Ovis aries: one gene and its partners. The protein of the gene in region 1 interacts with the protein of each later gene in a pairwise test. Links are inferred from orthologs where the notes say so. Each region holds a gene or a part of one and is shown in the gene's direction. Other genes may lie near its edges. The genes, in order: GOLGA2, PKP4, RAB39A, NDN, RITA1, SCAF8 and PRKAB2.

Evidence for each region.
Region 2: the proteins of GOLGA2 (region 1) and PKP4 interact in binary tests that used the Homo sapiens proteins (3 or more experiments, as listed by UniProt). The two-hybrid records come from large-scale screens. The link is inferred for Ovis aries from reciprocal best matches to the Homo sapiens genes GOLGA2 and PKP4.
Region 3: the proteins of GOLGA2 (region 1) and RAB39A interact in binary tests that used the Homo sapiens proteins (3 or more experiments, as listed by UniProt). The two-hybrid records come from large-scale screens. The link is inferred for Ovis aries from reciprocal best matches to the Homo sapiens genes GOLGA2 and RAB39A.
Region 4: the proteins of GOLGA2 (region 1) and NDN interact in a two-hybrid assay, tested with the Homo sapiens proteins (2 studies listed by BioGRID and IntAct). The link is inferred for Ovis aries from reciprocal best matches to the Homo sapiens genes GOLGA2 and NDN.
Region 5: the proteins of GOLGA2 (region 1) and RITA1 interact in binary tests that used the Homo sapiens proteins (3 or more experiments, as listed by UniProt). The two-hybrid records come from large-scale screens. The link is inferred for Ovis aries from reciprocal best matches to the Homo sapiens genes GOLGA2 and RITA1.
Region 6: the proteins of GOLGA2 (region 1) and SCAF8 interact in binary tests that used the Homo sapiens proteins (3 or more experiments, as listed by UniProt). The two-hybrid records come from large-scale screens. The link is inferred for Ovis aries from reciprocal best matches to the Homo sapiens genes GOLGA2 and SCAF8.
Region 7: the proteins of GOLGA2 (region 1) and PRKAB2 interact in binary tests that used the Homo sapiens proteins (3 or more experiments, as listed by UniProt). The link is inferred for Ovis aries from reciprocal best matches to the Homo sapiens genes GOLGA2 and PRKAB2.

Annotation. Positions count from the first base shown.
Region 1 is NC_056056.1:8,011,033-8,015,102, forward strand, and holds the start of GOLGA2 (golgin subfamily A member 2), read left to right. Parts: upstream 1-1,270; 5' UTR 1,271-1,294; coding exon 1,295-1,375; intron 1,376-2,912; coding exon 2,913-3,035; intron 3,036-3,998; coding exon 3,999-4,070. UniProt on the Homo sapiens protein: Peripheral membrane component of the cis-Golgi stack that acts as a membrane skeleton that maintains the structure of the Golgi apparatus, and as a vesicle thether that facilitates vesicle fusion to the Golgi membrane.
Region 2 is NC_056055.1:151,253,571-151,257,863, reverse strand, and holds the start of PKP4 (plakophilin-4), read left to right. Parts: upstream 1-1,493; 5' UTR 1,494-1,823; intron 1,824-2,121; exon of another isoform or gene 2,122-4,293. UniProt on the Homo sapiens protein: Plays a role as a regulator of Rho activity during cytokinesis. May play a role in junctional plaques.
Region 3 is NC_056068.1:17,177,965-17,181,983, forward strand, and holds the start of RAB39A (ras-related protein Rab-39A), read left to right. Parts: upstream 1-1,219; 5' UTR 1,220-1,380; coding exon 1,381-1,607; intron 1,608-4,019. UniProt on the Homo sapiens protein: The small GTPases Rab are key regulators of intracellular membrane trafficking, from the formation of transport vesicles to their fusion with membranes.
Region 4 is NC_056071.1:620,230-623,642, reverse strand, and holds NDN (necdin), read left to right. Parts: upstream 1-1,283; 5' UTR 1,284-1,371; coding exon 1,372-2,349; 3' UTR 2,350-2,913; downstream 2,914-3,413. UniProt on the Homo sapiens protein: Growth suppressor that facilitates the entry of the cell into cell cycle arrest.
Region 5 is NC_056070.1:61,268,829-61,273,098, forward strand, and holds the start of RITA1 (RBPJ-interacting and tubulin-associated protein 1), read left to right. Parts: upstream 1-1,470; 5' UTR 1,471-1,731; intron 1,732-1,904; exon of another isoform or gene 1,905-2,046; intron 2,047-2,694; 5' UTR 2,695-2,758; coding exon 2,759-3,060; intron 3,061-4,270. Other genes in the region: ATP-dependent RNA helicase DDX54, read right to left, coding at 999-1,172. UniProt on the Homo sapiens protein: Tubulin-binding protein that acts as a negative regulator of Notch signaling pathway.
Region 6 is NC_056061.1:79,150,992-79,155,116, forward strand, and holds the start of SCAF8 (SR-related and CTD-associated factor 8), read left to right. Parts: upstream 1-1,325; 5' UTR 1,326-1,332; coding exon of another isoform or gene 1,333-1,644; 5' UTR 1,645-1,869; coding exon 1,870-1,899; intron 1,900-4,125. Other genes in the region: actin nucleation-promoting factor WAS-like, read left to right, coding at 1,333-1,644. UniProt on the Homo sapiens protein: Anti-terminator protein required to prevent early mRNA termination during transcription. Together with SCAF4, acts by suppressing the use of early, alternative poly(A) sites, thereby preventing the accumulation of non-functional truncated proteins.
Region 7 is NC_056054.1:98,147,487-98,150,986, reverse strand, and holds part of PRKAB2 (5'-AMP-activated protein kinase subunit beta-2), read left to right. Parts: intron 1-1,406; coding exon 1,407-1,573; intron 1,574-2,400; coding exon 2,401-2,494; intron 2,495-2,710; coding exon 2,711-2,831; intron 2,832-3,500. UniProt on the Homo sapiens protein: Non-catalytic subunit of AMP-activated protein kinase (AMPK), an energy sensor protein kinase that plays a key role in regulating cellular energy metabolism.

The DNA of each region.
Region 1 (4,070 bases):
AGTTTGGCAAAAAGCTGGAAAAAAGTATTCCACACAAGGGACAGCATATGCAAGTGCTGTAGGGCAGGAGAGAGCACCTGTGTTTGAGGGAATGAGAGTGGTTTCCACGTGGGTGGAATGGGTGAGGGAAGGAGGGTGGTGTGAAAAGAACAAAACCAGCCAACCACTTGTGGCGATGTCACGGAGGAGGAGAGACAGAGCCCCTTTGTAGGGTCTGGGGTAACCCTGACAAAGGACAGGAACGCTGTTTCTTCTCTGAAGCCTGGCGGGCAGGAGGAAAAGATGACGGGGAAGGACTGAGAAATGACCTGGAGTTTCTCTGTGGAATCAGGTCAGCTGGGGGGAAGACCCCGAGGAGGGCTGGGGGGTGGGTCAGCCGCTGTTAGGGAAGGAGGGAAGGGCTGGGAGCAGCATGCAGGGGGGAGGGCAGGGAGGGGGCACAGGCTACATACTCACAGGGGATCGGAAGGCCCCGCCGCAACTTTTGGAAAGTCCTGGTTGAATCCTGCAGAGGAAGCCGAGGGAAGAAGTCTGATTGGACCTAGAGGCCGCCTGGGGAGGAAAGGGGTACTGTGGGGGTGTGGAGAGGAGGAACAGCTGTGAACCCAGACTGGATCCGGTTGGGAAGGGGACAGAGAATGGTTCTGGGATCAGGGTAGGGATTCTCGAAAAAGGGGAGTTTCTGACAGGGAGGAGTGTTGGAGTGGATGGGGGGGCGCGGGGTGCGTCTATGGAAGTGATCTCTGAGGAGAGAAAGTCTCAGGCAGAGCTACAGGGGTGTCACGAAAAGGGACTGGGAAGAGATGTGCTTTCCCCCTGCTATCAGCTCCTTGCCCACCTCCTCAGCCCTGGCGTCCGGGGCCCCCGACTCGGGGGGCGCTGCAGAGAAGGAGGGTCCAGAGCGAGGACGGAAACGAGTCTCCTCAGGTCCGCCAGGTACTTGGAATCCTGTGACGGAGACTAGAAACGTCACAAAGCGTAGCTACGCACGCACTCCGCGAGAGCCGGCTCAGTCCTCTCCGCCGAGGTGGGCAGGACAGGCCGCTTATTCTGCGGCTGCGCTTTCAGTGTTTTTTTTTGTGACTCCACCCTCTCTTTCGGGCGAAGCGGCGGCTTTAGCCGTGCGTCTCCGCCCCGTATCTTTCCCACTACCCAATGGGGTTAGAGAACTGAGGCCACTCCAACACACCGCGGCCTCCTAGTACCGCCCCGGAGCCGCCCTCTCTGGGCTGAGTGGCACCGCGGCGCGGAGGCTGCCGGAAGCGATTCCGCAGAGGTTGACGGGATCGTGCTGATGTGGCCCCCCCTTCCCCCGCCCCGTCCCGGGATGTCGGAAGAAACCCGACAGAGCAAATTGGCTGCGGCCAAGAAAAAGGTAAAAACGTGCGGGCTCGCGGCTCCCTGACCCCTCCGAAGGCCGGGCCATGGCCAGAGTTTCTGTGCTGCCTCCAAGGCAACGGGGTGAGCCCCTCGGCGCCCCTTGGCGCCCCCCCCCCCCCGCCGCCAACAAAGTCTTCGCAGCCAGTCCCGCCCCCCGCTACCCCTCCGCCCCCCGGCTGCCCAGTCTCCGCCGCCTTCACTCGGCACCCCCAGGTGACTTTGGGCCGGTGACCCCCGGGGCTTCCCACACCAGGCTTGGCCTTCGTCTCCTGTCGCCCGGAACCGCACCTCCGCAGCTCCCTGGTCTCCCTAACTCCCGGACTCCGAAAACCTCGGTCCTGGCCTTTGCATTCCCCCCCGCCCCCCATCAACCGCCCCCCGCCCCCCGACTCAACGCGGAGCGGCTACTCGGGCGTTGCTAGGGATCAGTGCCGTGTGGCTACGTCATAATGCCCCTTGGAACTGTCATTAGTGCCTAGGAAACTCGGTGTTAAATTTTACCACCCAGTTCCCACTGTGTTTTCACATCCTTTCCCGTCTCTCTGGGTCCCGGCACCAGCTTGAAAAAGGAGACTCGGGGGGATATGGGACCTAGATCGGACCTGGGTTTCAGGCTCCTTCACCTCTAGACTTGTACCCCCATCGTTTGATGTAAAAAGCCTACACTTCCCCCAGTGATCTCCAAACATTGACAGTATTTCTGGGTGGCCATGGGGAGAAGGTGTTTGGTTTAGTTTGGTTTTCTCCCAGGTCTCTATCCAGAGAGACTTTCACATTTTTAATCGGAAGTTTCTACTTCACATTCTAATTTTCCATGATTCTGAGACTAGTGGGCCCGTCACTCAGCATTCAGTGCTCCTCTGAGGAGCACATCCAGGGAAACTGAACTTCACAACGGGGAATCTTTCACAAATCATCACCTCAACGTGGGGCAGCCCAAGTGCCACAGGATAAATATGGGACTGATGGATCAGTTTTGCTTGATTTTCTTGAGAGAGAAAAAACCTTTTATACTAATATACGTAGGGATGACATTTGCGTAGATTTGTATGATTATAATGGACTTCTCTCTGAAATGTGTTTGGGTTGTCCTCTTTCGGTTATGTTTCCAGAATCACTAGGGGTGTGTGTCTTCTCTACCTTCTGCCATCAGGATACATTGATGTAAAATTTTGAGAAGTACTGGTGTGCAGCTCTAATAGAGATGGAAGAAGGGACCCTGATGTCTGATCAAATGATTACATTTCCTCTGCTGCTGCTGATTTTGCCCCCTAGCAGCTGCTGATTGATGTTGTAATCCCAGAACTCAGAGTCAGAAGGCTGAGTTTAAATTCCGTTGTTGCCTTTCATTGCCACCTTTTGCTCCTAGCCACATTATCAGTCCATTTCAAGTCATTGAGGACGACAGCCCTTGTAGGGTTGTTGTGGCATTAAATTAGAAGGCAAAGAGTATTTTGTAAACTTTGTAAAGTAGGATGTGGATCCAGGGGGCGTATAGTTCTCATGAGCCTCACTGCTTTTCCTTTTTACAGTTAAGGGAGTATCAGCAGAAGAACAGCCCTGGTGTTCCTGCAGGAGCTAAGAAAAAAAGAAAGATCAAGAATGGCAGTAGCCCTGAGACAACCACTTCTGGTGATTGTCCATCACCTGAGGATGTGAGTCTTGCCTGACCGCCTTCCGGGGATGAGGCACTCAAGGGGCAACAATAGAGGGTAGTGGTTAAGATTGTGGAAGAAATGTCAGATATTGGCTAAGAAGTTTGGGTTTGAATTCTCCCTTTCTCTCTGCAAGGGATATGGTTTTAGGCAAATTGTTTAAGCTCGTTGGATCCCTGTTTCCACATTAGTAAAATTGGGGTAATACTGTCTTACACCAAGGAAGTTGAAATGAGATTGTCGTCGTTTTTATTATAATCCCCTAAAACAGGGCCTGGTGCAGAGTAGACTTTCAATAAAGAGTAGTTGCTAGTTGACTTAACTGCTCTGGTGATCTTCCCCAGCCTCATGGGGAAAGCCAGGCAGCTGCTTGCCCTCAGACTTTCCATTTAGAGGCCCCAGTAGAGCCCCAGAGTGTGGTGAGGAGAGGGCCTCAGGCAGTTGGATTAGGAGACCATCTGAGTTTTAAGACCATCTTTGCCACCAGCTTGCTGGGTGGCCCTGGGAAAATCACTTCCTCCCCTGGGCCTCAGTTTCCTCATCTGTAAAATGATACTGGTGGATCAGATTATTGCCTTTAAAGCTTATTTTTTAGCTGTAGCCCCTCTGCCGCCACTTCATTCAAGTGGACCCTGTTTCTGAAGTCTGGTTTTTAAAAGTCTAGGCCTGAGGGTCTAAGAAGCTATTAAGAGCTGCATTGTTCATCTGAGGAGCTATGTGACTGCATTGTTCAGGGGACTTCTCCATCTGTTTGTTTCCCTTGATTTCTGCCTTTGGCAAGGCAGCAAGTGGCTACTTGGAAAAATGACCCAGGCCTGTATTGATCCCTTCTGACTCCTTTCTCTCTTCTCCAGCATTCCGTTGCCCCAACCCGTGTCTTCTTCCTTCCTTGACTCTCTTGCCTCTCTAAGCCACTTTTCTCTTTTTCCCCTGCCCTTGTTTTTCCCTTTTCGCCTCCTGTAGATTCAGGACATTCTGGAGGTGCTGGTGTCCGACCTTAACCGCTCCAATGGGGTAGCGATCCCCCCATTGGAC
Region 2 (4,293 bases), on another chromosome or scaffold:
TTACTACAAACTGCGGAAGACACTTTCTAATTAAGGTACCACTGAACAATTCTTGTTTATTTTTGTAATTTTTAATTATGGCAAGATAACAAACAGTAGCATATTATCCAACTTAAAATTCAGGACAGTAGAAAGACATATGTGGCTTGCACACACATTAATCTGTTGCTCTTAACAAAATATTTGTAATTTCCAAAATTCTATCAGTTTTTTCATACAATATGGTCCCTTCAAATTGAAGGGCAGTAGCCTAAACATAGTCTTCTTAATTAAAAAAATAGTGTAAAAATGGCAAAATCAACAAAAAGAAGGAACATAAGAATATCAGTGACTATATCACAAAACAATATAATGCTTAAAAGCCCAGTATGTTCACAAAGTTCTATTTTAATAGCTAGTATCTAGATATGAAAATTACTTACAAAAAGCAATCTGTATTTACGAACTAGCAAAGTGACTTTAAATGAAAGCAAAGCACTTGTAATTAAAGCTCAAGATTTTCTATGTGACTCCATGTCTCAGTTTATTTATCAAATTTAGAGGCAAACTTGAAAATAGGCAGAAAACAAAATCTACCAAGTGTAATCTATTTCCTTTACTCCCTTGTGAAATCATCAGAAGACATGAAGGATCAATTGCCTGTGTCTTGCCCCACCTTGTAAACTCTTAGGGGAAAGAGCATGCACCTGTCAAGCTTATAGTGCAGAATGCACACACAGATGGGCGTTTAATAAATATCCTTCAGTGGAGAGATTAGAGGTTTTCTTTGGGAAGCAGGGAACACATCTCATGCACTGACTAGATGACATCCATCATACAACACGTCAGCCTGTTTCCTCATAAAAATATCATCCAAAGGAAATCTTTGAATGATGTTTAGTCTCCTTTTAAGTCTTTAGACCCAAAATTTTGATGCAAGATCCACCCCAGGGAAGGGGGAGTGGTTGGGAAGAACAAGTAGATTTGATGTGGGTCAGTGACGTCAGGAAGAAGCAATGATTTAAGGGATGGGGTGCAAACTCACCTGGAGAAGCAGAAGGTGCACACGTGTCAAAGGCCAAAGGGCAGAGGCCGAGGGACTCCCTAATCGCAGAAAAAGTGAAATGCCCACTCCCAGGTTCTCAAGGATTCCTCTAGGGGCTCAGCTGTCCCTGCCTTTGACGCGACGGACTAACCCTTCCATGCACAACTGGGTTTGACAGGGAGACAAAGCGAAAGCTGTCCCAATTTCAATCAGCACTCAGGAATCCCTCGGTAGCTCTTTCCTCCACCCCCTCCCGCACCCAAAGCCAGAGACACCTTCATCCTCACTCCCCACCTTCTCCAGGCCCTCTCGCTCTTAACAGCATCGGTCTCTATGGCGACCTGAAACCTCAGTTCCCATTGGTCAGTTCAATATGAGGGCCGGTCCAATGGGAAGAGCCAGCCTTCTCCTTCCGACCAATGGGGTAGGCAGGGAGCAGGTCCGGAGACGGCGGCGTGCTGACGTTCCCGGGAGCCTGGTGCTGGCTGGGCAGGCGGGCTGAGTGCTGGGCGGGCGGCGGCGGCCTCTGGGCAGTAGAGGGGGCTCCGGGGCTGAGTCCGCGTCGACGCCGGCCGCGGAGGCGGCACCATGGGCAAGGGGTAGCGGGGCAAGTTGGCCACCGCCGCCGCCAGGGGTGGTGGGAGAGCCGCTTCGGGGTAGGGGGCGGGTGGGGGAGGGAGGGGCGGGCAGCCGCTCGGCCGCGGCACTTTTTTAATTTTTTCGAGTGCCGCAGCGGCGACCCCACCGCGCCGATGTTCCTGATCCCCGGAGCGACGGCGGCTGCTGCCTAACCTGGAAAGTAAGTGTGCGGGCTTGCGGGAAGGCGCGGAGACTCCGGCTCACAAGACCCCCGGCCCTCGCCCCCTCGGGCCGGAGATGGGACTTGCCTGCGAGGGGCGCGGGGAGGGACGGGGACGGGCGCCTCCCTCCCGTTACTCCGTCCTCACCGCCTCGCGGCCGCCTCGGCTTTCCTGCCCCGCCTCGTGTTCCTGCCCGCACTCGCCTGCCTGCTCCCCTCCCCCCGGTAGGCGCACAAGTTTCACCCTCCATTTGCTTTTCCCGGTGATTACTCTTCCCCTGGTCTCCCCTACACGCAGCGCACGACCCCACCCCGCATTGGCCTTTTTGGATCTAGGGCCCGCAGCCCCAAACTTGAGCGCCACGCCGAGCCCTCCTGGACGTCTGCCGGGAGGCTTCCCCTCTCCTGCCCCCCTGGTACGCCGCCTCGCGCCCCCAACACCCCTGGGCGCCCGTCTTCGCGAACCCCCAGGGCGGCCCGTCCTTCTCTCCAGCCCCAACTCCTGCACCTTGCCCCGCCCCCCCCCTCCCACGTCCCTTCTGCCAGTGCTGTCTTGCGTTTGCCCGGAGTCCCGCGCTTCTAGCTGGTCCTGCCCACCCACCCTGTCCAGTGCGCCCCTCTCTCCTCGCCGCGTATGCTCACGCTCCACCCCTCCCGGTTCTCTAGCCGCAAGCTTCCCCGGCTGCCCTCTTGCGCGGCCGCTTCCTTCTCTCCCTGCCAGGAGTTGAAGAGGAGCTGCGGCACCCCCAGGCGGATAGAGTGTCCCTGCCCGCCGCTGGCGCTGCCCACCCTTCTCTCTTTCCCCCTCTACCCGGGAAGCGAGGGGCTGAGCGGTTGGGCCGAAATTTGGCTGCGTTGTTGGCTGAGTGCGACAAACAGCGAGAGCGGGCAGTAGAGGCGCCGCGGCGGCCGTGGCCGCGCGGGGCGCAGCAGTAAGCAGGTGTGTGTGTCCGGGGGGGACGCGCACCGCGGGCTCTTCGGCTGGCGACAGACTGTGCAGGAATGCGAGGAATGCACCGGGAGCATAGTCCACGCGGCCCGCCGCGGCAGAACTAGAGCCTTCCCCAGCCCAGCTCTCGCTGAGCAGTCAGAGGTCACCGGAGCATCTTCGGAGCTGGTGAGCCTCTCTCCACTCCTCTCCTCCCCTGGCTTTTCTCCATGCGGCAGAGGGCGGCGGAGGGGAAGCGCGGCAGTTCTGTCGGGCTTCAGCTAGTCTTTTCGTCTGGGATTTTGCTGCATTGGTCTCCAGGACCGTGAATTTCGTGCCGGTGGCGGTATAGCCAAGGTTATTGATAATTGCACAAGGTTCTTGGCAACTTTGGTTTACAAGGTTTAAATAGTGCCTGGATTTTACGAGGTTTTTTTTTTTTTTTTTTTTTTGATCTGCAGGAAAGGGTGCCTAAGGTTCTTTGAGTAATGAGCTTGCAGCCAACGTATTTTGGCTCTATCAAAAAAATGTCTGTTAATGCTCATGGACGGGGATGTTCTTCAGGAGATAACTTGAATGCATCACTTTACTGTCATAAAAATTGTATTTTTTTTCTCGAAAATTGTAATTATTTTCTCGCATACTGGGCTGTGTTTAGACCTCTTACAATCCATAATGAATAGAAACAGAGAAGCAGTGTTTGGTCAGCGATGGGACAGATAGGACTGTCTGGTACAGTTAAATTCGGGGCGTGTCGGTTACCATTGGAAGTAATGGGGTACTACAGATGATGTACATTTCAAGATGTAATTTATTAGTTGAGGTCGCAGTTCTTTCTCTATTTTTGGCACCGAGTTTGAACGTAAAATAAAAATACAGGTCTATGACTTTTAAAGAATGGTGGTTATTTATGTGTAAAATCCAAAATGATTAATTAGTATATAGTTTTGGTCAAAATTTATTTTCCTTAATGCAAAAAGCAAATTTTTGACAGAAGTTGCTTTGCTAGAACAGGACTTAGATTGTGTTATTTTAAAAGGTAAAGTAGAAGACCACTTCTCTTTTTGAATGTAGTGTATTGCTGTAGAAAGTATTTAATTTCCTTTCTCGTACCAGTGATACAGTTACAAAAAATGGTAGCATTCTCTCATTCTCATCAACATGAGAACAGTTGATGTCCAAAATAAGTATTTCTGGATTTGGAAAAGTATACTATGTGTGCTTTTATTTGACACAGTTTGCTTTGGAGGTTGAATTTACTATAAGCCTCTCCATGCTTGGCTATTTTGTATCAGATTCAGGAACATAGTTGATTGTCCAGCTGTCTACTAACGCCTTCTGTGTAGGGATCAAGGGCATTGAAAAGTATAAAATGAGAGCCTTTCATTTGGTTAAGAACCCGTGGGGAAAGGAAACAGAGAAAAGAAAAAAACTTTGTGATGGATAAAGTTGTGTCTTTTGGCTGCTACATTGTTTTCCAGGTATGTTCATAGTAAGTGTGCCTTCTAGTTTAGAGGGTTGGCTCTAAATTAGAATTAATAA
Region 3 (4,019 bases), on another chromosome or scaffold:
CCTGGTTTGGGCAGATTCCCTGGAGAGGGAAATGGCAACCCACTCCAGTCCTCTTGCCTTGCAAATCCCATGGACAGAGGAGCTTGGTGCAGGTTACTGTCCATGGGGTCGCAAAGAGTGGGGCACGACTGAGCGACTTCACTTTGGAAGTACAAACAATTGGAAAGGGGGAGATTTGAGGGATAAATGGCATGAAATAAAGACTACTTTCAAAACAAAAGTTTTAAAAAGAGGATTAAACATATCCTTGAAAACAAAACTTATTCCTCCTAAATAAGAAAGGAAGTAAAGCTGAATAACAAAAGTATAAGTTTGGATGTGGACAAGAAAAAAGTTGAATTGTTAAAATTCTATTTTAACAAAAATTCACTTTAAAACTGCTTAACTTTTAAAAGAATTCATTATTAACCAGTTTGAAGAAAGGCATGAGAATCTCGCCAGAATTCAGGTGTGCTTTGTTTACTCAGATTCCTGACCAGAAACAAGCTAAGTAGAGACCACTATGGGATTTTTTCCGACATATAGAAGAGACTGAGAATAGGAGCTTTTATGAACATCTCACCGTTTCATTTTCTTTCCTTCTCTCCTTCCCCAAACAAAAGGGCCCTAGAGACGATGGAGGCGATTGGCATTTTTCTCATTCTTCCGTAGTAATGAAGGCAGTGAGGAAGAGACGGTGGTGGCATGAGCAATGGCCAAAGTCCTTGCTTGAAGCATCCAGAACTTGCTCTGCAAATTTATTTCAACCTTGCTCTCAACTCCTTCATCTTAGAACACCTGGGAGGTGGCAGTCAACAAGGATGGAGAGCAGAAAGCCGCGAAAAGATATCTGGTTCAGCAACAGTGGTCACAGAGCTGGTCAAACCCGATGAAAGTGGAAACCACATTTTCAAAAATCAGAGCCGGAATCTGACGAGCCCGCCCTGACGCCTGTAAAAGAAAATGATTTTCACTTTTCATTGGCTGACCCTCCCAGAGTTGAGACCTTTTTTCATTTTCATTGGTCATTGCCTCTGTCACGTCCTTTCACCACACCCAAAGCGCCCAGTGAGCTTTGGGGAAAACTGATTTACAGAGGTCGGGGGCGGGAGTTCTCAAGCAGCTAGACTATTCCGCGCCCCCCGCCCTAGTCCGCCCCGCCGCTTCCTCCTCACGGCCCTACCCCGCCCCCTGGCCTGAAGCCACGCCCCTTCCCCGGCCGGGCCCCGCCTCTCCCTCCAGAGAGGGCGGGGACCTGGTGGCGGCCGCAGCCGCAGGAATATGCTGGAAGCCGACTGGCGGGCGCTGGGGAGGTGCTGAACGGACAGTTCCCGCCGCTTTATTTGCCCGGCGGCGGGTAGGAGGGTGGGGCGGCCTTAGAGTCCGCTGGGCACGTGAGCGATGGAGACCATCTGGATCTACCAGTTCCGCCTCATCGTCATCGGGGACTCCACCGTGGGAAAGTCGTGCCTCCTGCACCGCTTCACTCAGGGCCGCTTTCCTGGTCTGCGCTCCCCCGCCTGCGACCCCACCGTCGGCGTAGACTTCTTCTCCCGCCTGCTGGAGATCGAGCCCGGCAAGAGGATAAAGCTGCAGCTCTGGGACACGGCGGGACAGGAGCGGTTCAGGTAGGACCCCGGGCGCTGGGACCCTCCCCAGGGACCGCACCGCCCCCTCCGTCCTCCTGGGGCCCCCTCCCTAAGCGTTGGCCGCACCGGCCCGAGTCGGGAGCAGCTCTGGCCCTTCCCTCTCGAAAGTGCAAACACTCCATTCTCGCTTCCCCTTTGCCCCTCCTCTTCCAGGGACGACTTCCTCCTCCGCAATTTCTCACTTCTTTCTTTGGCTTCTATTTCCTGCGCCCCCTTTCCGTTTTTCCTTTCCCGCCTGAACCCAGGTCACCCTCACCAGCTCCTCTTACCCAGCGCTCTGGCCCTGCTGGCATTTTAATCCCCAACTCTTCGGCTCTCCTGCTGCCTACTCCCCAAACTCAGCGTCCCTCGCTGCGCACGCCCTGACCTGGCCACCCTTCTCCAAGCTCCGCTTTTCCTCCTCTGACCGAGCAGCTTCCCATCTATGCGGCCCCGGAGAACTGCATAGAAGGATTCCCAGATTCATGATTGATGCGTTTAGCTTCACAGCAAGCAGTGCTCCAGCCCAGATTACAGCATGAGCTCATTGGGCACCGTGCAGACGGAGATGAATGCGGTAATGGTCTGAACATCTCACAGCACCGAATGTGGTCATCAGAAATACAGGGCCAGGACCCGTGAGAGTGTGTCTTGCACAGCAACCAAGGACATAGACACAACTGAGGAGTTTTTGTTTCATTGATATTGTTTTTTAAGGATTGAGTTGTCTTTAGAAGTTTGTCATCACTGGTGCTTTGATGGAGAAAAGAGAGATGTACATACTGAGATTTGTTAGGAACTTTTCCTTTAATTTATTCATAATAAGTACTTAACGTTCCAGGGTGATAATAGATCAGAAAATACTTTTCTACATGGAGGAGGAATACAAATAAATAGTCTCATTCTACATGCTCATTGAAACCCTGAAGGATTTCACAAAAGTGACTGCCAAATAAAAACTAAATGTAAATTGTATGCATTTCCTAGATATTTAAGATGGAATCAGATATGAGGCACATTTAAAATTTTTAGGATTCAAGAACTTTTTTTTTAGAGAAGGGTAAGGGATCTGATATACTGTAGTGTTTGGGACTCTTGTAAGGTTCTATTATCCAATGGAACTCATTAAAGCAAACATTTGGTAGTCTTCTGCTTTTGGAATTGGTACTTCTTAACCATACTTCCCAAACATGGCTCCCCCTCACCCCATCCAACACCCATTCTGAGTGAGATCAGCGTACTTCGCTGAGAAAAAGAGAAAATAAAATAAAATAATTTTAAAATAATTTGTCAAAATCTAATTCCTCATCTGTAAAATGGAGTCATTATGATCTCTAAGATTCATTACAGTTTTACCATTGTAAGGTTGACAGCAAATTCATTCACTTGTGATCTCAGTCAGAGATGAACGTTAAGATATTTCATGGTCAGTAAAAAGCATTTACTATAGCTCTTGCTCTGCCCTCTAAAGTGAAGTGAAGTTGCTCAGTCATGTCCTACTCTTAGTGACCCCATGGACTGCAGCCCGCCAGGCTCCTCCATCCATGGGATTTTCCAGGCAAGAATACTGGAGTGGGTTGCCATTTCCTTCTCCAGGGGATCTTCCTGACCCAGGGATCGAACCCAGGTCTCCCACATTGCAGGCAGACTCCTTACCCTCTGAGCCACTAAAGTGAATATAGTGAAAACATGTTCTTTATACTTTAACTTCTATACCGTAACTTTATATCTTAAACTTCTAGCAACTACTGATAATTAAGAAGTATAGGTAGTAAAATCTTCTTGAGTCTAAAACACTTTCCTTAAAAGTAACTTTTTAAAAAAATTAATTAATTTATTTTGTGTTGTTGTGTTAGTCGCTCAGTCGTGCCCAACTCTTTGCAACCCCATGAACTGCAGCCCTCCAGGCCCCTCTGTCCATGAGATTTTCCAGGCAAGGATACTGGAGTGGGTTGCCATTTCCGTCTCCAAGGGATCTTCCCAACCCAGGGATCAAACCTGGGTCTCCTGCACTTCAGGCAGATTCTTTACCAACTGAGCTACAAGGGAAGCCCCTAATTTATTTTATTTTAACTGGAGGCTAATTATTTTAAAATACTGTGACAGTTTTTGCCATACATTGAATCAGCCATGGGCGTACATGTGTCCCCCCATCCTGAACCTTCCTCCCACCTCCCTCCCCACCCCATCCCTATGGGTTGTCCCAGAGCATCGGCTTTGAGTGCCCTGCTTCATGCATCGGACTTGCACTGGTCATCTATTTCATATATGGTAATATACATGTTTCAGTGCTATTCTCTCAAATCATCCCACCCTCACCTCCTTCCACATAGTGCAAAAGTCTGTTCTTTACATCTGTGTCTCTTTTGCTGCCTTCCACATAGGATTGTCATTACTGTCTAAATACCATAT
Region 4 (3,413 bases), on another chromosome or scaffold:
TTTTTTTTTTTAAAGGATGCACCTCTGGGACTGTCAACTTTGTTTTTGTTGACAGTCTCAAACAAAACTGCAGATTTGGTTTCTAAATTTGAAAACTGATATACAACCACCAATTGTTACATCTCAAATCAATTGTTATCTGGGAAAATTTTGGGGATCTAGGTTAATTTAAAAAAGAAAAAAAAAGTATCTTGGGAGGGATTTGCATGTGATACTATTCAGTATCTGTGGAAGATGGGGATGTTGTGCTCTAAGAAGGTGAAGTTTCCACAGGAAGAAAAGCGGAGGTTGAAACAGTCATAAAGAAAAGGAAGGTCCTGGAAAAACAGGCGGAAAGACATCCTATGAGTCTATGCTAATATAATCTTTGTGTGAGGGGATTCTAATGAAACAAAATTTACATCAAAATTATCCAATGGAATAGAAAAACCAAAATCAATGACCATTAAAACACTAACAAAGTCATTATTATATTGCCTTCAAGAGAACTTCGATCACACTCGGATTGACAACATTCTGCATTTCTTGTTCAAAACTCTTCCATACGGTAGGAAATCAATGAATTTTTGTTGTTATTCTTCAGAATTCCAATTTGTCCAATTAGTTCTCCTGGTGGCTCAGAGGGTAAACTGTCTGTCTGCACCGCGGGAGACCTGGGTTCAATCCCCTGGAGAAGGAAATGTCAACTCACTCCAATATTTTTGCCTGGAAAAGCCCATGGACATAGGAGCCTGGTAGGCTACGCCCATGGGATCGCAAAGAGTCGGACATGACTAAGCGACTTCTCTTTTTCAGAGTTGACATATTTTCTTGGGCAATCCTGGCTGTTCTCTCAGTTTAAATTCTCACACTGATCTGAAACCTAGTTGACACACCAGCCTAGTTCTTACTCTTGGATTGATCTCTAACTTGATTTTGGATATACCTAATCAAATGCTTCCTAAGAAAGTTCAGTTTCAGCATTTCAGAAGCTTAAATTGCCATCTGTCCCTTAAACTGACTCCTTGTCCAGTGCTCACCCATCTCCCTCCCCTCCTCCTCAAGAACTCCTCCTTAGCCATAACAGGATACCTGGGGAGGGGGTGTGATCACTGAGGCCCATATTCTAGCGGACCCTCTATGCTTACTGGGGGCCTCCTAGCCCCCTCCTGCAGCCCACCAGGAGCCCCGCCCGCCAACTCGACTGCCGGGCCCCAGGCGCGCGGACGCGCAGGCGCATTGGCCCGGCCCGCCGCCGCCCCGCCCTGCCTGGCCTCTGCGGAAGGCGCCGCGCGCAGCAATGCGCACTTCCTCTCCAGGAGTCCGCGGAGGGAAAGCAGACTCGAAGAGCTCTCGGACTCGGCGGCCCTGCTCTTGCGAGACCGAACAGATATGTCCGAACAAAGTAAGGATGTGTGCGACCCCAACTTTGCGGCCGAGGCCTCCAACTCCGAGGTGCACGGCAGCCCCGGCATTACCGGGGGGCCCTCTCCTCCGGGGTCTCAGGCCGCGACACTCACTGAGCCAGAGCGCCCTCCCTTAAGCCCGCCTGATGCCCCTCTGGTCTCGCTGCCTTCCCAGGCTCCAGGCGAAGAGGGAGACCCGAAGGCCCTGCAGCAGGCCGCTGACGAAGGCCGTCCCCACCAGGCCCCGAGCACAAGTCAGCTCAGCCCGGCGCCCCCGGCCCCGGCCCAGCTGGTGCAGAAGGCACACGAGCTCATGTGGTACGTGCTGGTCAAGGACCAGAAGAGGATGATCATCTGGTTCCCAGACATGGTGAAGGATGTCATCGGCAGTTACAAGAAGTGGTGCAGAAGCATCCTTCGGCGCACCAGCCTCATCCTCGCACGCGTGTTCGGGCTGCACCTGAGGCTGACCAGCCTGCACACCATGGAGTTTTCGCTGGTCAAAGCTCTGGAGCCAGAGGAGTTGGACAGGGTCGCTCTGAGCAACCGCATGCCGATGACGGGCCTCCTGCTGATGATCCTGAGCCTCATTTACGTGAAGGGTCGCGGCGCTCGAGAGAGTGCAGTCTGGAACGTGCTGCGCATCTTGGGGCTGAGGCCTTGGAAGAAACACTCCACCTTCGGAGACGTGAGAAAGCTTATCACCGAGGAGTTCGTCCAGCAGAACTACCTGAAGTACCAGCGCGTCCCCCATGTCGAGCCCCCTGAGTACGAGTTCTTCTGGGGCTCCCGTGCCAGCCGCGAAATCACCAAGATGCAGATCATGGAGTTCCTGGCCAGGGTCTTTAAGAAAAACCCCCAGGCCTGGCCTTCCCGCTACAGGGAGGCTCTGGAAGAGGCTAGAGCCCTGCGGGAGGCCCACCCCACTGCCCACTGCCCCCGCAACAGTGTCTCCGAGGACTAGCAAGGTCTGGAGGCAGATGGAAGTTTTCTGCCCCTCACCAGGGTGGAGGAAGGGTGGGAGTGTGGGACGTTAGAGTATTCAGGATCTACAGTGCAGTATTTCACGTGTAACTTTTAAGTTTTCCATACAGTGCTTTTATACCTCTTAATGCAATGTTGTGTTCATTTCAGTAATATTAGTGTATAGGATTCATGCATGGTTGTTTGTAATTAAGCTCAGTTGGTGCTTTCGCTTTTGTGCTACCTTTCTTGAATTTTTTGTACCAGAGACATGCTAAACTTATGAAATACACTGAGGCATTTTCCATATTCTTTTACGTGTGACGGAGGCTGTGTATTGGGGTAAATTGGTCTTGCAGAGTTTGGAAAAACTCCCCAGAAAAGCTGGCCTAACCAAGAGAAAAGTTGACCCCTGTCTTTGTGCTCTGCCTGGGCACGGGAAACATCCCTGTGGAGTTTGGTGATGTGAACTGAAACAGACTCAATGTGGGCACACTTTACTAAACACAGATACAACCTCACCATGAGTAAACTTTAAACATTAAAGATTCTTGTGATACAGTCATTCATGGAAAAAGTGTACTTTATCTTCTTAACAGAATATTATGGGTTTGGAATGGGAATTACAAAGTATACAGATATAACTATTTCATCTAATAGGACGGGGATGTCAGTACTCATCATGACTCATAAATATGTAAAGGGCATAGTTTTATTTTCAGGAAGGAATTCACAAGTTCATATCAAAGCTTTGACAAGTAGAAGTGCAAAAACCAAAACAGGGGTCATAATCACATTATATAGAAATAACAAATGCTGATATTTAGAGTAATTGCCCCTCTTACATTTTCCATATTTTCTAAAAAATAATAGCTGTCTTTTGTGGGCACTAAGAGAGGCCTTGTACTAAACCCTTACATATATTTTCTCTCTTTAATCCTCACAATAGCCTTGTGAAGCAGGCACCGTGGAGGAAATACAGAAATAAAGCAGATAATTAGCTTTCCCTGGATCATAAAGGCTTCCTGGGAGGAGAGGCTTAGTTTTAGGGTTTGGACCCAGACT
Region 5 (4,270 bases), on another chromosome or scaffold:
CATGTGTACTCCCCCACAGCCAGTACAAGGTGTTGAACACATGGCTGTGCCTTGGTCCCTAGTTATAGAGAACCTTCTGTGTGAGGCTCGGTTGAGATGGAATAAGGTCCCCATCTGGTCCCTACTTCTGAGGAGCAGAGAGGGCTCTCTTCATATAAACCCCCACTCATTCATCTATTATACCCAGAGTCTTCTCTGTGCCAGACACCCGCTAAGCACAAGGTTGTGAGAAACAACAGGCTATAGCTCTTTTGCTCCACTGGGGCTCACACCTGTTCCCCCTCCCCCCGCCCCCCCCCCATTTGCATACACTCAGCACTCAGTAGTGGAAATAGCACAGGGTCTGGAACCATACAGTCCTGGATTTGAATCCTGGCTCTCCCACTCACAAGCTATGAGGTTTTGGTAAAGTTCCTTCACCCCTCCAGGCTTCTGTTTCCTTCTCTGGAAAATGAGGATAAGCACTCAGCTCGCAGGGTTGATGTGGTGATTAAATGATAAGGCTTATAAAGGCTTTTAGCACGGAGCCTGCACACAGTAAGTGATCAATAGACGCGAGTTTAACTTATTATTAGTTTCCCAGAGGTTTGGGGGCGTCGCTGTCTCAAAGCCACGAGGTGCAGCCTTCTCCTAATTTGTCTGCCGAAGAACCCCCAAACTCTCAAAAGTCCAATGTTCAGCACCCGCACTTTTCATTGGGCGAATGGAAACCAGGACCCGCCCTCGATGGCCAGGAAGAAGCCAATGAGAAGCGCTAGACCAAGCGTCAGCCAGGAAGGCCCGCAGGCCCCGAGCTTACCCAACACAGAGGCTTCGGGAGTCTAGACCCCAGGTGTGGAGGGTCCTGGGACACGTGCTCAGGCCGGAGGTCCTGCCTTGATCCCCCGGCCAGCCGATCTCTCCCCATCCTCAGCCGTGCCCGCTCCCCAGCTGGGGGAACTGCCGGGCACCGCGCGGAGCTCGGGTTCCGACGTGTATCCCAGCCCTGCGCTCCCTACCTTCTGGGCCCGGGCGTCATCTTCTGCCTGGATCTCAAACTCGCCGTCCTCCGAGTCGCTGCTGCGGGACTGGGACGCCGCACCCCGGCGCTTCCGGAGCCCCTTCTTCTTCTTCCACTGGGCCATGGTAGCTCCGGACCGCGGGGCGGCCGCCGGGCGCGTGCCGGCAGCCATGCGGGCCCCGGCGCCGGGAAATGGGAGGGGGCGGAGCCCATAGGGACATACCAACAGCGCGGCGGGGGCACGGGGGACGCCTCCACGCGGCCCCGGCTGCGTTCCTGCTCCTTCTGCTGCCTCCAGGGGCTTGATCCACATGCACACACACACACTCCCCTCGCTGGCGCGGAAGGTACCCCTTCCGAAGCTTTGGGGAACTCCGGGGGGCGTCCGGAATCGGGGGCCTTAACTCACCCCCGAGGAGTAAATGGTTCCGGCCGCCCCGCCCCATCCTGTCACTCACGGGTTGCTGTTTGACGCGCGTCCGCGCGCGCGGAACACACGTCGCTAGGGCCCGGCTGCCAGCTCTGAGTCGTTCCGCCCCGTACCCCGGTCTGGGGTTGGAGCTGGGGGCGGCCTTGGAACTTCCCGGAGTCGCGGGCTCCCGGGATTCAGAGCTGCCGATTCGGATGTCCGGCGCGCGCCTCCGATGCCCGAGCGCCCCACAAAGGAGTCCAGGCCTGGGAGCAGGGGACGCTGACGGTAACGACCGACGTCAGCGAACCAAGATGCTCAGGTAGGAAAATAACTCGATAATGCGGGCACATCGGACATCTCCGGGACGTGGACTTGGGGATCAGTGAATGAGGGGCAGCTGGAGGACTGGGTGTGATCCCCTAGTAGGGGAATGGTTAAGTGCAGGAGCTTTAGACCCTTAATCAGGTTCAAATTCAATTTCCACTGTTTTAGCTTTATAGGTGTGACTGACACTTGCAACTTCACCTTTTGAAGCCTTAGTTTTGTCATCTATAGAATGAACATAATGGAAGCTACCTCACAGGAGTGTTGAGAGGATGAAATGAGACAATGCTTGTAAAGCTCTTTGCAGGAGGTAGGCTTGGGATCGATCAATGCTGGTTATTATTTCTGCCCGATAAATATGTACAAGATATAGAAACCTGCCCTGTTTCCCCCATTCCTCATCAGCATAGTTGATTTTCTGTGTGGTGCCAGAATAGGCAGAGGCCCAAATCTCTTGTTCATTCCCCTAGTGTTCTATAAATATTGACTGAACACACACCAGTATGCTAGGAATGCGCATTTACTCATTAAATATTCATCTGTAGCACCCCTGTCCCCGTGATTTCTGTGTGCTCACTCACTCAGTCGTGCCTAACTCTGCGAATCCATGGACTGTAGCCCGCCAGGTTCCTCTGTCCATGGGGATTCTCCAGGCAAAAATACTGGAGTGGGTTGCCATGTCCTCCTCCAGGGGATCTTCCCAACTCAGGGATCAAACCCAGGTCTCCCACATTGCAGGTGGATTCTTTACCATCTGAGCCACCAGGGACGCCCACCCCTTCATTACAACAACTCAAAAAATGTCAAATTTCTGAAATGTTCCCTGGGATTGGCAGCTCCCCTTTGAGGAAGACTGGTTGAGGGAGAATGTGACCTTTTTGCCCTGGGGATGGGCCCTTAAAGTGATTGCCAGTCTTTTCTGATGACAGATGGTTGCTACCCTGACCCCTTTTCACAGGGAGCCCTGGATGTAGGGCCTGGCAAGCAGAGCACCCCTGCTGTCACTCAGGACAACAGAGAGCATGAAGACCCCGGTGGAGATGGCCATCAGCGGGATGCAGACCCTCCACGTTCAGCACCGTGGCCGGAGTGGCTACCGGGTCAAGGTTAGGCCATCATACGTGGATGAGACTTTGTTTGGCAGCCCTGCAGGCACCCGGCCCGCACCACCAGACTTTGACCCACCGTGGATGAAGAAGGCCAACAGACCCAGAGGAGTGGGGACAGGGGTGTCTCAGGCCTTGGGGGCCAATGGGAGCTGTGAGTCCACCTCCTCCAGTGGCAGCACCCCAACCCTCACACCAAGGAAGAAGAACAAATACAGGTAATAGGATAGGAAGATTCCCTGCCATTCATCTGCTGTGTGACCTTGGGCGAGCAATTTGACCTCTCTGAGCCCGTTTCCTCACAGTGGAAGGTGGGACCCAGTGGGATTATTGAGAAGACTTAAGGGGATGAGACATGTACAGTGGTTGGCACAGTTACCCGACACTCAGGAATAAATAAATGGTAATGGCATTAGACTGGACTTCTGAGGCCCAGAGGGGTGAGGTGATTTGTCCAACAGAGAGAGAGAGTGTTGGTCGCTCAGTTGTGTCCAACTCTTTGCTACCCCATATACTGTAGCCTGCCAGGCTTCTCTGTCTGTGGAGTTTTCCAGGCAGGAATAGTGGAATGGGTTGCCATTTCCTTCTCCAGGGGATCTTTCCAAACCAGGTATTGAACCTGGCTCTGCTGTACTGCAGGAGGATTCTTTACCTTCTGAGCCACCAGGGAAGCCCTTGATTTATCCAAAGTCACAGAACAGTTTGCATAAGATTATTAGTGTGGTTGATCCATCAAATGACATAGATATGGTGATTCCAAACTGAAGCAAGTCATTTTGAAAATGGTTCTTGCTTCATTTTCACCAACAAGTTAGAAAAATGGAATCTAATGCCAGTGGTTATTTTTGTAGGGATTATTTAGACTATTTCAATGAATTTCAGCCTCGAGGGAGGCCACAGGACTCTATCTTATTGATTGTCATCAGTGTCTTGAACAGAGATATGGAAGACTAATATATTAGTCAATCAGGTTTGTTATATATAACAAAATACTATAGACTTAAACAGCATAAGTTTGATTTTCCACAGTTATGGAGGCTTAAAGTCCAAGGTCAAGATGCCAGCAGGGTTGGTTTCTCCTGAAGCCTGTCCTTGGGTTGCAGATGGCCAGCTATTCCCTGGGTCCTCACATGGACTTTTCTCTGAGTGTGTACACTCTTGGTGCCTCTTCCTCTTCTTATAAGGACACAAATCCTATTGGATTAGAGCCTCACCTTTGTGGCCTCGCTTGTGTGTGTGTTAGTCATTCAGTCGTGTCCAGCTCTTTGCGACCCCATGGACTGTAGCCTGCCCGGCTCCTCTGTCCATGGAATTCTCCAGGCAAGAGGACTGGAGTGGGTTGCTATTCCCTCCTCCAGGGGATCTTCCTGACCCAGGGATCAAACCCAAGTCTCCTGCATTGCAGGCAGATTCTTTACCACTGAGTCA
Region 6 (4,125 bases), on another chromosome or scaffold:
GTCTTAAAAAAGAATTACCCATTCTGGCTAGTCCGGAGAAGGAGGGAGAGGGACCAGTTTAGGAGGCTACTGCAATTGTTGGCAAGAGATCACAACGGCTTAGCCTATGAGGATGGGAGGCAAAAAGATCTGAGATTTTTCAAGATGGAATATAAGCTCTTCTGGTTTTCCATTTTACCTTCTAAGTAGCCAGCGGCCATATTAAAGTTGTCAGTGGAGAAGACTCATAAAAACTACTAGGCCCTACCACGTCAAGAAGGGTCTGTCTTCCTGTTTCACAGGGCTCTGGGCTGAGCTCTTACCTTGGTTCCAATAATCCTATAGAGAAAAATCCCGCAGTCATCTATCTCCCTTTCCTTTGAAGAGCAGCAACTGCTGAAAAACGACTCCCAGCAAAACGACAGTGTTTGGGGTTCACTGATAACACACCTAACTTTCCACTTAAATGCTCGCTTTTAATTTGGTATCGGTTATCTCACATTGCATCAAGTGACAGAGGAGGCATTTTGCTAGCAGCATCTCCTACTTCATCTAGAAAAAACTGTATTCACCATCCGATTCTCTGCAACCTCGGGCAAAATTCCTTTAGAATAATCAATCGTTTATAGAGGACGGGTGCCCTTTCGCCTATGCAGATCTCGTGCGTTCTGGGCACCGCTTCCCGCCGCGCAGACAAATGAACTCATTGTCTGCACCACGCCAGTCCCCCCCGGATTTTATGCAGCGTGCATTTCCTGCACCGAGAAGCTGGCTGCAGGCGTGCTTCCCTCGTTCCCCTGCCCCCGCCCGAATCTCAAGCTTTTGTTTCTAAAGGTTTTCTCCCGACGCTATTAAAAATGCTTGCGCACATCGTTCCCAAATAAGTGACCAACTAGGAAGTTTTCTGGCTGTTAACCTCGAGGCCAACGTCCAGTAAAGTTTTGAAAAAAAAATCAACTAAACCTCGTGTAAAGAGGCCAGTCCCTATGGAAACAACGGAAACGCGGATATTATAGCCTAAACTTGCCGGGAGGGGGGTGGGGGCGGGATTTGGGTTTTTCTTAAGATCAACGCTTTGCAGTGGCCCCCTCCCCCCGCAGGGCTCTCCAAGGGGCTGCAGCCCGGATTCCCGCAGCGGCGAGGAGGTGGTGTGTGGAGGGGACCGGGCGGGGGTTGGGGTGGGTAGAGCTGAGCCCGGCCTCCCGGCGGCGACGCTCTGGCCCGCCCGCGCGCGCGCACGCTCGATGGTTCCGCGCGACGGCCCGGACCCGCGCGGTCCCGACGCCAGGGGGCGCGCTGGCCGGCGCCGCGGATCCCCGAGCTGCGCGGCCCGACCCGCGTCCGCCATATTGGATGCCGCAGCCGCCGCTGCCAGCGCTTCCTCCTCCGTCTTCGCGGCGCGCCGCTGGTTCCTACGGGCCCCGAGCGGCGGGGAGGCGAAACAGGAGCCCGCCGGAGGAAAGAGGAAGGAGGGGGTGGAGAGAAGTCGGGGACCGGGGCTGGAGGGTGGAAGCCCGAGACCGAGCGGGGCGGAGAAGAGAAGGCGCCGCGGCCCGGCCCCCCCCCCCCCGCCCGCCGCCGCCGACCCGCCCCGGCAGCGCCTCTGTTCCCCTGCCCGGCGCTCCGCCCGCCCTAGCGGCCATGCCGGGGCCTCGCCGCCCCTAAGGGAGAGCCCTTCCCCTCCAGTGCTTGCCTCGCCTTTCCCCTCGGCCCGGGGGGTCGCAGCGGCCCGGCCCCCCCCCCCCCGTCCCCGCCGCCGTCGGCGCGCCCGCCCCCTCACACCCCCCACCCTCCTCGCGGCGCCGCCGCCGCCCCCGTCTCGCTCTCCCCACCCAGTGCGGTGGCCGCCGCCTCTTCCGCCGCCGGGCTCCGGGCCTCCGCACCGACAACATGGAGGCTGTGAAAACCTTCAATAGCGAGGTTGGTATTGCAGTCTTCGCCTCTCCTCCCTCCGACCCGCTCCTGCCCACGCTCCCCACCCCGACCTCCGACCCCCGACCCGGGACAAGGCCCGCCGCGGGAGGGCTGGGCACGGGCCCGCAGGGCTTTCTCCAGGGTGGGGCGAGCGGCGGCCTGGCCGTGCCCGTGGGGGAGGGGTGTTGCTCCGTCCCGGCGCCCCTCCCCCGATCCCGGGGTGGTGGTGGGGGCGGGGGAGGTTCCGGTGTCTCCAGCACCTACTCCCGAGTGGCTGCGGGGGTGGAGGGGGAGGCTACCGGTTGGGCCCTCCCCCGGAGGCTCCCGACAGGTCTCTCTGCGGGTCAGTTACGCCGAGGCCTGGCCCGCCCACCTCTTTTCCTGGGCCTGCGGGATTTTTAACTTGGAGGCCAGGCATCCCCGCTTCAGGCCTTCCCCCGGTCCTTAATGAGGCAGGCATTGATAGGGGTGGTAGGGTTTGGAAGTGCTGGAAAAGCACCTCCTGGGATGATCATCTGTGGTCACATTGCAAGCAGTGTTTGTTTATAACCGAGATATCGTTGGCTAGGTAACCTGCCAACCGGGGACTTAAGCTTAAGGGGGATGGTTGGTCGGGAAGCGAGGTTATTCTGCAAATTTTTCCTGTCCTTACCTCCCCCCCAACCCTCCTCACCGCCAACTCTTCTCACCATCACGACATAAAGCAGGAGAGCTGTGCATGCCGAGAGGAAAGATGCGGGAGAGGCATTTCCCATGGGCTCCTTCACGTGTCATACATAAGGCTAGATTTTAAATAAGCAGCTGTTCGGTGTTCACTATTTGATTGAGTTTACTAGTCTGAAGGGAGACACGTTTTGATAAAAATAGTCGTGTCCGACTCTGATCCCATGGGCTGCCAGGCTCCTCTGTCCAGTCAAGATTACTGGAATAGATAGTTACTTCCTTTTCCAGGGATCAAACCCGGGTCTCCTGCATTGCAGGCAGCTTCTTTACTGTCTAGCCACCAGGGAAGCCTAAAATATTTTAAAACCTTTTAAACACTCTAATATGAATAGGCTTAATTATATTAAACAAACATTTAACAAGTAGATGTCTGCACAGCTTATCCGTACTTGTATGCCTTAGATACAAATATTTTAATATGTTAATTAGATTTGCATCCATTTTAAGAACTTTTCATGTGGAGGCACTAATACTCTGTTCAATATAGTCTAATAGTGATAGCCTAAACAATTTTTCTTTTCTTCCCTGCTCCCTCCCTCCCTTCTATCCATCCCTCCTTCTTTGGAGAATTAGCATTTGAGAAACTTAGAAGAGGCTAAAAGTTAGATCTAACAGTCATGTGAATTAGACTTTCCGTATTAAAGCAGATAGCCGTGACAGTTATATGAAAAAAAGCCTTTTTTTGGAAAGGATTTTCATTTGAATACAAGGTTTTCTTTACTGCTTTTTGATACAGATTTGAGTGTAAACTTCAGAATCTTTTCCATTTTATTTATGAATTTATAGCTGATAATTTGTGTCAGATTATAAAATCTGCTTTCACTCCTTGTCCTTAAAATCTGAAATAAAAAATAAAGATACTATATGTTCCAATTTATTGTTGATCATTTCACAGCTCTGCAGGGGAGGGGGGGAAAGTCTGTGTAGCTTTTTTGTTTGCTACATGTAGTGTTACAGCACTAAGTAGTGGTCTTCATTTAAATTATGTATAAAAAAGGTTTCTCCTATTTCCTTCCAATTATTTGATTTACCCTAGACCTTTTTGATGGGTGTCTCCTGTTTATTTTGGGGGTTCCTAATATGTACCCTGCATTCCCAGCCCTCCCTGCCATGTGATAGATACGAACAAGTGGTCAGTAGACTGTGGTTGATCACAATGGAGCAAGGAGGAGTAGAAATGTTACAGTTGGTTTTTTAAATTTCGCTATTGACATTAAGGATAAGGAGCCTAATATTTACATGGCTAGCTTGATGTTTCAGCTCTTATCTCATCTACACAAGAACTTGAGATTTGTAGTGGTATTCCCACTGTAGTTTATGGAACACTGTCTCCTTTCCCTTTATTTTTTTTTCCCCTTATATATTTTCAAAGAACTTAAACCATCTTTTACTCCCTTGTTTACTAATATTATGCTTACACTTCTGGAAATGGGGCTGGTGCACAGCATAGTTACAGAATTGAGGAAGAGAAATACATTTTGAACAAGATTGAGAAGAATGTACTTTTTA
Region 7 (3,500 bases), on another chromosome or scaffold:
AAAATGGAGATCAAGTTTTTCTCTTAAGTCACTTCCTTATATAATGTGAAAGTTCCTTCAGTTCTCATTGTTTACTAAGGATTTTGTTGCCACTAACGTCTTATACTGTAGTTTTGAGGAATATTCAGAGACAGTATGGAAGGTTGACTGCCTCAGCCATTTTGAAAGTAAAGCGCAAGTGAATAGTCTTTTTTTTTTATCCCACATTATTTTATTTGGTATTAATAATATTTTGGCTTGATACCATAAAGACTTATTTACCAAAGTCATTTAAGCCACTCTAAAGTGTGGGTCAACAAGCTTTTTCTGTAAAGGGCCAGATAGTAAATATTTTAGACTTTGTGGTAGACCATACAGTCTCTGTCACTGATATTCAGTTCTGCCATTGCAGCATGAAAGCAGCTATAGAAAATGAGAAAGTGAATGAGTGTGGCTATTTTCCAATGAAACTTATAAAAGCATCTGGCTCACTGGCCATAGTTTGCCAGTTTCTGTTCTAAAGGATGGTAATGAAAATAAACTTGACTAAGGAGTCAGTTTTCTTCTGCAACCCTACATACCTCATTTGATATGGGAACCACTTTTTTAAAGGAAACTGTGTTTTTGATCCGATGCTTCTTGTAGCTCCACAATTTTCATCCCTACTCCTGAAAATTACTAGTATAAGCCTGACATGGATGAATAAGTAAGATTTCATAACTATTTCTCAAAATTTAGGAAACCAGTGATCTGATTTTTATGTATTTAATGTCTTTTTATAACCTATTAACTAAAGAGGAAATTATGAATTATTTAAGAATTTTAGTATCTCTAATTTCTATTACAACTGATAATTGAGATGCTTATATTTACATATGAAAAATACATGGCTCAGGACTTCCTTGGTGGTCCAGTGATTAAAACTCTGTGCTTCCGCTGCAGGGGTGAGGGTTTGAATCCTTGGTTGGGGAACTAAGATCCTGCATGCTGCATGGCACAGCAAAAGAAAAAAAATAGATGACTAACTTAATTATTTTTTGTAGAACTGTGCTTTATTTTGATATTTTTCTCTTAAGAGATAAGCATATCATGATTGTCTGCCTATGAGTTAATCTGGTGACAGGAAGTAAGATTTTTTGTTTGTTTGTATTTTAAGGGACATCCCAAGACTCTGAAAGGATGAGTGATTCATGCAGACTCAGAAATTAAGCTGTGATTTGGGCAGACTTTGGGCATAAGCCATTTGACCATTTGGGTCCTAGATGAGTTTCTTTTCTATAGTTTTGTTCAAAATTTGAAGTAGTTGCTCATTTCAAGACTTATTAATCCTTATCAGAAATGTAGCACCCCTCTCTGCCCTAAGGAGGAGAGTGACCTTTTCAGAATTCCAGGGACACAATTTAGGGATGACCTAATCCTTCTTACAGCTCCCTGGGGACAAAGAGTTTGTATCATGGCAGCAGGATTTGGAGGACTCCGTAAAGCCCACACAGCAGGCCCGGCCCACTGTTATCCGCTGGTCTGAAGGAGGCAAGGAGGTCTTCATCTCTGGGTCCTTCAACAATTGGAGCACCAAGATTCCACTGATTAAGAGGTGAAGACAAGTGTCTTGGTTGAGTCTGCTGGGTCCAGGAGTAGAGACCCAATTCCCTTTCTCAGGAGAGAGACTTGGCTGGACTACTCCTCTCCACCTGCTAGGGACTTTCTCTAGAACATTTTTTGTGACCAGTAACTATATCTGTGACATTTTTTTTAACCTTATAGTGAGTCAGAGATGTTTTACCACTTAGAATGTCATTGCCTCAGAGGGACTTCCAACAGTTTTGGAGGTATGTTCTTTAGGATTGTGTTAATAGAAGTCCTTTCTATGCTTGTGGGAAGTCTCCCGTAACTGCCTGAGTCCAGTTGCCCTGACTTCTGCACTAAAACAAAACACGTTGTAAAGTTCTAGGTAGTAATGTTATTTGTTGCTTGCAGAGCAACAATGAGTTATGTAACTGACTATGGCCCTTTGTATATAGGTAATTTTCTAGAAAATGCTCACCAAAATGTGGAAAGAGTACCTTGAGGCACTTCATATCCTGAACCTACTTGCTATCTTTTTTACACTCCTGAGGGATCTGTTCTGCTGAAGCAAAATAGTTGTACTAAAGTGAAACATTCTGGGGGATTAATATCTTTATTGTTCTTTTTCAGATATTAGTTAAAAATTAAAGTTGTTAGGAGGGATAGCAAATACATGCTCAAGGGGATATAGAAAAGGAGAATGGGTTTATAAATTATTTTTCACTCCAGGGGGTGCAATCACTTAGGAATGTGGGAGATCACTGGTATGATACTGTGATTGCCTCATGGTTTTACATTTATCTTCTGTCTTCTAATAAGAATTTAGCCTGTTTAACTTTCTGTTTTCTTCTGTAGCCATAATGACTTTGTTGCCATCCTGGACCTCCCTGAGGGAGAGCACCAGTACAAGTTTTTTGTGGATGGACAGTGGGTTCACGATCCATCAGAGGTAAGACCTTGACCTCCGAGGGTAACCACTGGCTTAACAGTCTCCTTTTAGCTGTTATTCCGCTGGGTGTCAGATATCATTGCTGTTGGATTTCCCTGTTGATAAAAGATGGTGGTGTCAAGTATAATCTCTTCTAAAAAGAGGAGAGTTGAATGGATGAGATGTATTTGAAATGGGGATTCATGAATTTTTTTTTTTTTCCATTCACTGTTTCAGCCTGTGGTTACCAGTCAGCTTGGCACAATTAACAATTTGATTCATGTCAAGAAATCTGATTTTGAGGTGTTTGATGCTTTAAAGCTAGATTCAATGGAAAGCTCAGAGACATCTTGTCGAGGTAATTTTGTAGTATTTGCTCTTTCTTGATCTTTCCTTTCTTAAAATGCATGTTTCTTCCCAAGAGTGGTTTTTGTTTTTTTCATTTTCGACTTAGGAATCTTCCAAATTGTATGTATGTTTCTCCTGTAAACATTTAGGTCATATTCTCAGAGAATGAAATCTGTGTAATGTGTTTGATTTCACAGTAAGTGAAAGTAAATATATTTGATCTACATTAAATTTACATTGTAACCCAACACACACATCACACAAACCAGTAACATGTCTTGCACTATGATGTTTGCCTTTATTACATGTGAAGCACTTTATTTTCTACTTTATTCTTCTTTTTATAAACGACTAATGTGCTGTGATCTATAGTTTAAAAAGCTATTTCTAATAATATTTCAGTTTTTTCATTGACCTTTGACAGTATCAACTAGCAGGAGCTACTTATGTCTCCTGTGCCATGTTTAGCTGCCTCAACTTAATCCCGCCAGATTGATAGCTTAGTTGGCAGTTGTATATTTAATAGGCCCTACCCATATGGCAGTCTTTGGGGAAAAAAGAGTTATAAAAACCTCAAATTTCTTTTGTGTATATGTTAACTGAAATTTTTAAAGTTTTGGGTTAAAAAAAAAAAATCCTCAATAGAGGAATAGATCTCTATGCTTTTGTTTCTCCCAGT